Linked DNA regions of Daphnia pulex. The protein of the gene in region 1 purifies or fractionates together with the protein of each later gene. This does not show direct contact. Links are inferred from orthologs where the notes say so. Each region holds a gene or a part of one and is shown on either strand. Other genes may lie near its edges.

The links.
Region 2: the proteins of myotubularin-related protein 9-like (region 1) and ATPase inhibitor mai-2, mitochondrial-like purify together in Homo sapiens (affinity purification with mass spectrometry; 5 studies listed by BioGRID and IntAct, with this or other methods). This does not show direct contact. The link is inferred for Daphnia pulex from reciprocal best matches to the Homo sapiens genes MTMR9 and ATP5IF1.

What each region holds. Positions count from the first base shown.
Region 1 is NC_060028.1:7,381,047-7,385,738, forward strand, and holds myotubularin-related protein 9-like, read right to left. Parts: upstream 3,106-4,692; 5' UTR 2,876-3,105; intron 2,818-2,875; 5' UTR 2,804-2,817; coding exon 2,657-2,803; intron 2,592-2,656; coding exon 2,423-2,591; intron 2,344-2,422; coding exon 2,063-2,343; intron 2,001-2,062; coding exon 1,851-2,000; intron 1,790-1,850; coding exon 1,675-1,789; intron 1,609-1,674; coding exon 1,380-1,608; intron 1,305-1,379; coding exon 1,075-1,304; intron 1,002-1,074; coding exon 832-1,001; intron 763-831; coding exon 553-762; 3' UTR 478-552; downstream 1-477. Other genes in the region: protein kinase C-binding protein 1-like, read left to right, coding at 3,585-4,111, 4,204-4,350, 4,410-4,598, 4,667-4,692. UniProt on the Homo sapiens protein: Acts as an adapter for myotubularin-related phosphatases. Increases lipid phosphatase MTMR6 catalytic activity, specifically towards phosphatidylinositol 3,5-bisphosphate and MTMR6 binding affinity for phosphorylated phosphatidylinositols.
Region 2 is NC_060022.1:5,168,386-5,170,764, forward strand, and holds ATPase inhibitor mai-2, mitochondrial-like, read right to left. Parts: upstream 1,141-2,379; 5' UTR 1,046-1,140; coding exon 987-1,045; intron 912-986; coding exon 803-911; intron 741-802; coding exon 600-740; 3' UTR 501-599; downstream 1-500. Other genes in the region: 26S proteasome non-ATPase regulatory subunit 14, read left to right, coding at 1,474-1,566, 1,646-1,795, 1,855-2,071, 2,132-2,244, 2,309-2,379.

The DNA.
Region 1 (4,692 bases):
GGGGAGTTCCTCAAAAGATTGTTCTCTTTTGTGGAGCAAGGGGAGGGGGGATGATGACGCCCAAGCCGGATACATACCTGAGGAAACTACAGGGGACACAAGTTCCTTTGTTCTCATAGATTCTTGCTTGACGGCCTAAATATAAGATTTTCTCGAATAGATAATAATAACAAAAAAATAAAAACAGGTTTTTCAAAGTGGAGGAATACTCCATCACGATTATACGGAAAGGTCAACCACGTTCCTTTACTTTATACAACATGTCGTGCAACTCTGGAAGGGATGACACGAATTGCTCACCCCACTTAAAAAACCACCGCGTCGGTATTTTTCTTTTAGGCTTTTTCGAAGAAAAAAATGAGTAGAATTCGTGCATCCGTGAAATGGATGATGATTGAAGAAGAAAGATGGTTAGATTACAACCACGACAGTCCTTTACACTGCTGACTTAATATCAAAAGATTGAAACGTCACATCTAAAGTTTCAAATTCTTTTTGTTTTGCTCAACGGAAGAAAAAATAATAAACAAGCAGAGAAAATATAATGAAAACTCAATCAAAGACTGTTCCAATGCTGCTAGGACTATCAAGTAGTCCCTTCGCGATGGCATCACGTTCCAAATCTATCAGTTGGCGGCGGAGACGCTGAGCTTTAGAGCGCAGCTCTTTGTCCTGCTCACAAATTGCTGCAATGTCACGCCAGGCATTGTCGTAGATGCTGGGTTCCACCACGTAAGCGAGGTACATTGCTGGCCACAAGTTCTTTTAAATTGAATCAGAGAAGATTAGAATTAGAAACAAGAATTTAAATTGACGAAAATTTATGCATACCACGCTCATAGGAGCAACTGAAGGCCAGATAACGCGATTGTTGGGCTCGTAGAGCGGGTTAAGGAAAGATCGAAGCACTTCTGGTCGATTTAAATGTGACCATAAACTAACAGTCTTGGACGACAGTTGCATTTGATAGCGATCTAATTCGTTATTTCCCAGAAAAGTACCTATTCCCAACGATTAATGATCCAATTCATTAGTTTTCGTGTTGTTTTATGCCAGGCTAAATTACTTTTTTACCGAATTGAGACCAATAGGAATGACGAGCCAACTGAAGGAGAAATCCTTCATTAAACTCAAAACTGCATGGGAATTGCTGCATGATTTGCCAAGTGCAATCAATAAATAGTAAAAAAGTCGGCGCATTTTCTTTGCTCCGTGAGACTGTGTTACTCAGAGCCGAGCGGTGATGGCGTTGAACAAAGGGATAACCTGCTTGAATCCATTCACGCTCGATCAAAGCCTCAAAACTTGAAGAAAAAGAAAAATAACCACAGGAGAACTATAGAAGCCTTTCGATATTTGCAAAGGGGATTAAACCTTACCCGTGAACTGTGCGAGAGTCAGGGCTAAGAATGACCTGGGCGAGGGCAGAAACGGCCAATGTAGAATCAAGACCTTCTCCTCCATGAAGTAGAACAGCAGCAGTTTCTTGATCAATGCACTGAGAAACTAAACAGGCACAATTCATAGTTTCTTTTACGTACGAAAGCCATTGGGAAGATTCTAAGCGGGACAGCCATTTATCCATAGAACTGCCATTGTCAAGGCAGGCTGAAAAGGGGTTAATAAATATGTCAAAATGTCACTTTTAGGGGGCCAAACAATATTGCTTTTTACCTTCAACTAGTTTGGATAGCGATTCAAGTAAAGACTGCAGTCTTTCAATGGGTTTATGAATGCGACGCCATTGAGGGTAGTGAGATTCGGTCTCAAAACCACCTGAACCTTTAGACTTTGGAACGAAATTTTAGATATTTAGACAAGATTTTTAGATTGAAAGAATGATATTATACTTTGGGGGTCGGTGTTGTGCTCTGGTGGCGGGTATCAATAATGTAACCCCGCATCCCTGGTTTCAACACACTGTTAAGAAGTTTTTCATCCTCACGACAACGCTTAACATTTGGTCCCGAATGAGGCTGACTACTTCTCATCATCACAGCCTGAATAAAAAGAAAAAGAAATAAAAATATTGCAGCATATTTATGATTAAATGGCAACTTACTCCTCCTTCATGCCTGTATGAGAGAACTGGAAATCTCCCTCCAACTCGAAACGATGCAGCAGCTATTAAGACGTCATCATCGACCGACTTGGGAACTACAACAGCAGATGGATAAGACGAGCAGATTGAATAATCCTTATTGACATAAGAAATCCTCCAGTCTTCCTGTTGTTGCATGACTAGTTTGGAAAATTCAGTTTCTGGCCTAAATGCTGTCCAACCATCTTCTATTGCAGTGTAAACTGGCTGATAGAAGAAAGGATAATAAAGAGACTGATTCTCTGTGGTAAAAAAATTATGATCTATTAGCAGGTGGTTTTAGAAGATGTAGGCTTATAAGCACCGATCTGTAATAAATACCTATGGATGATAAGCACTCCAATGAAGCTGAAACATTCATCAGTTCTTCTGTATTATTGAAATCAAAACTGATAACAGAAAAATCTTTGCACTTGAGTGTAAGAGTGCCTCCTGCAGCTGGAGGTGTGTTGGGTTTTCTTTCCACTAAATCTATGATTCTATGAATCAGCTGTAAAAATGAAAAAAAAAACAATGTGAAGGTAATTTACAAAAAACTTAATAAAATTGGTATACCCAAAATTCATCAGGATTTTCTCCTCCAGCAGAGAAAATGAGGTGGTGCCCAGTTATACATAGCACCCCTTCAACAGATTTGTGAAGTGGGCGGTGGACCAAAACCTTTTCTACCCTTGGTGACTTGATGAGATGTGCAAACTCCATTTTCACAGCTCAGCCTTCAGAAAGAGACAATCCATAAATCGGTTTAATGAAACCTAATAATTTTCCACAAACCTTGTATTGTAAGGATTTCTTCACCTGTCACAATCTCCAGCTGGACGATTTCAGAAACGAGTTGCGCGCGCAATTGATCGATAAAGACTAAATGAGGTTAAAAATACAGCATTCGCTTAAAATTTACAGTATTTTGGAAATTATTTTCATCCTGACAGTGAATTATCGTTTCACTTCATACCAAGTGAGCGTAAAAACGTAAACATTGGTGTCGTGAAAAGCAGAAAAAAAAAATATTTTTCATATCCCCAATTGACAACGTTGTTTGCTATATACACCGCCGGTGTGTCTTGTGTGTGTGACTGTGTGTGTGTGTGTGTGTGTAAAATAATTCTGGCGAAACCCTGAGCTGAAATATATCGCATGCTTCTGAAGTGGTTCAAGATTCGTGACACCTTTTTATAGAGTGGGTTTGTTTTCACGACACCATTATTGATGATGCTTTTTAATTTGTAACATTCTTCTTGTTTGTAGCATCATCACTGGACCGAAATATAGATAGCCTGTGGGCGGAGCTTGTTTGATTGAAAAATCCTCTCCGGATTCCGCCTGCTCTAGCGGTGTTTCTACGAAGCACAGGAAGGTCAGTCCTCAGTGGTATGCTTGCTAAATTCTACGTTCATTTTCCGTTTCGCAATAACATATTTATTTGGAATCACTAATTGCAGATATCAAGGGGACAAGGGAAAAACTGTGCTGCCTGCCCGGAATGGATAACGCTGCGACTGCTGATGTCATCAATGAACCTTCCAGTGATAGAGTCATGGAGGATGTTGGTTTAATGTCCAGAAAACTGAACAGTGAAAACAGTGAGCCTGCAGATAATGTGGCCACTGCATGTGAAAACTTCGACACTCTTTCACCTAGGGATGGCACTCCCCAACTAAATGGTGATGAACAGAGCCAGATTGATGATGATGAAGTACAAAGTCTTTTTATAGCTGAAGATTCTGAGGAGGATGAAGATGAAGACGTAGATGAAGATGTGGATGAAGAGGATGAAGAAATGCCAGAACTTTTAGACTCAGATGGTGCTGGGATTCAAACAGCTACAAAGGATGATGGTACTACTGGAGAAACATCAGATGAGGAAGCACCTCCAGGACTCATTCTTAGCCATGGTTCAATAATGAAGCAGGAAGGCAAGAATGTGGACAGTCTCTCAGGTGTAGTTGAAAATGAACAGTTAGAAGATGATTTACAGAGTCTTACTGACAAAGGAGACCAAAACCAAAAGTAAATACAAAAATTAAGTCTATACATTATTCCTTCTCAAGGGTTCCACATGGCAACAATTTCAAAAAATTCTTTTTAAATTTTGCATCTAGCATTAAACTGCAAGGAACTCCATCAGCAGCTCTAAGAAGATCCAGCAGGACTAAATTACCCATCAGCCCATCTCCAAACGACGTGTCACTTTCCGCAGGACGTACCACGCGATCACAGATCAATCCTGACATAATCGCAAAGCAAAAGTAAGGAAATCTGAACTTGTTTTTTAAAGCCATATATTGGAGATCCATTTCTCTTACAGGTCTTTCATGCATAAATACCAAATTGCTGTCAAAAGCTCTATGGACTCGTATGTTCGAAGTGCAACTAGCGAAGTTGAACAGGTTAAAGTGGAAACACAAGCCACAAAGCGCAAATGGGAGGATACAGGAGGGACAGATGCCGTGCATTCTCCTCATAGTTCTCCAATTCAAGAGAAAAGAAACAAAAAGTAACTAAAAAATGAAGCTGGCGTTACGAAGCATTTGTAACTAACTGTAGCACTTTTGCAAACTTTAGATCAATAACAAGCACTCCATCAACAG
Region 2 (2,379 bases), on another chromosome or scaffold:
TTGCCTGACTTTCCTTGGCTATCAACTTCAGTTCAGAATATTTATCGTGGAATCGGGAGGAAACAGTGTCCTTATGAACAGCATCCGACTTCTTCACTTGTACTCGGCTGTGAAGTGTCAAGTTAAGTGTGTTGGTCAGGTGAGAGATGCAATACAAAAAGACAAAATTAAGTGAATACCTACATCAAAAACTGTCGTGCGTGCCATCTTGAATACATTTCCCGAAAGACAATACAAGAGCTGCTCCCAAAATTATTCCTTTAGAAATGCAAAAAATTAATGGCCTCGAATAATTCGCAGTCGAACGATGTTCCATTGAATTTATACTTTTTTTGCCACAGCATGTAACAAAGGTTCTTTTATATGTTGAAATTCATTTGAAGTCTGTTTTGTGTATGGCATTATGTCCCCTAAGTAAATTAACCTGTTGAGTAATATTTTAGGGCATAGGCTGTATACTTCCTTCTACAGTATCAACATCTTTCAGGGAAATAAATAGCTCAACCATAAACTAGAATTGTATTTTAGGATATACATTAAGGCTACACATCCTTCCAGAATTTTGATATCCTTGCACCACACTCAGGCATATCAAACAATTAGGCTTTCTTTTTCTGCTCCAACTCTGTGATTCTCTTTTGATGAATGTCAATTGCATCCTGATGTTCCTTCATGCGTTGCTGATGAAATGTTATCTCCTCATCAAGGTGAGTTTTAAGTGTTTTCAGCTGTTCAGTTTGCTACCATCCATATAAAAAATCAATACAAGCTATACATAAATTGTAAAAAAAGATATTTCTACCATTTTACGGAAGTATCGTTCCTCATCAGCGGCTTCCTTCTTTCCGAAAGTTCCACCAGCTTCTCGAATGGCACCAGCTCCACCATCTTGGCTGTAATAAGCTAAACGACTAGAAAAGGCAAAACAAATGACAATTAATTCACGTCACAAAGGTAGAATGCTCATTAAAATATTAACTACTCACCTCATAATGGGTATATTACGAGAAAGCTTGAGCGCTGCAACAGATCGAGTCAAAGCCATTTTGTTTTGATGAGTAGACTCGGTGATTCACAAGTCAAACAACTGATTTACAAAGAGAATTCGTAACGACGTCAGACAAACGATCGTTTGGATTTCTACAAACGTCGCAATCGACCAAATAAAATTTTTATAATAATTAAAAGATACATCTGAAGAATAAAATTTCTTACAATAATGTATTCTCTTTAATGGAAGATCTATATTGATAATTAAAAACTGGGTTTGATAGAAACTGATAATGAAACATTTTTCATTCATTGTTGGGCAATGTTGCTAACCAGCATAAACCCGTCGAAAAACGTTGCGCGGAGCGTGAATTGACTATTCTGTGACGGAAGGATTCATTGTTTTTACCGGCCGTTCTACTACAAAGCAGTTTCCTTTTTCTTCATTCGAAAAAAAGTTTGAACTAATAATTTAAAGAGATAATGGATCGTCTATTACGGCTCGGTGGCCCGATGTCTGGCCTCGGACAATCTGCTCCGCCAACTGATGCACCGGTTGTCGACACAGCCGAACAGGTATGACAGATTCGTTTGCATTTACAATAAATTACTTACTATACCTATTATAATTGTTTTCACATTTTTGTTGTAACAGGTTTATATTTCTTCTTTGGCACTGTTGAAAATGCTTAAACATGGACGAGCTGGAGTTCCAATGGAAGTCATGGGACTTATGCTTGGAGAATTTGTTGACGATTACACAGTCAGAGTGATTGATGTATTTGCTATGCCTCAGTCAGGAACAGTATGAAACCATTATCATTTATCAATTTTGCTCACAGTAACTTAACAAACTTTATGTAGGGTGTCAGTGTTGAAGCTGTGGATCCAGTTTTTCAAGCTAAAATGTTGGACATGCTCAGGCAAACTGGCCGCCCTGAAATGGTTGTTGGCTGGTACCATTCCCATCCTGGATTTGGTTGTTGGTTATCTGGTGTAGATATCAACACACAGCAGAGCTTTGAGGCCTTGTCTGAACGTGCTGTCGCTGTTGTTGTTGACCCTATTCAAAGTGTCAAAGGTATTACAGATTTATTCATTTTTTTTTTTGCAGTTGTAATAAATAGTTTTTTATTTACAGGCAAAGTTGTCATTGATGCATTCAGGTTGATAAATCCAAACATGATGGTATTGGGACAAGAACCTCGCCAGACAACATCAAATCTTGGACATTTACAGAAACCATCAATTCAGGTGTGTTTGTTAGATTTTACAAAACATTAAATTCTGCAAGACTTTTTAATGGTTTTTTCTCCAGGCCTTGATTCATGGACTTAATCGCCACTACTATTCAATCAGCATCAACTATCGAAAGAATGAACTCGAACA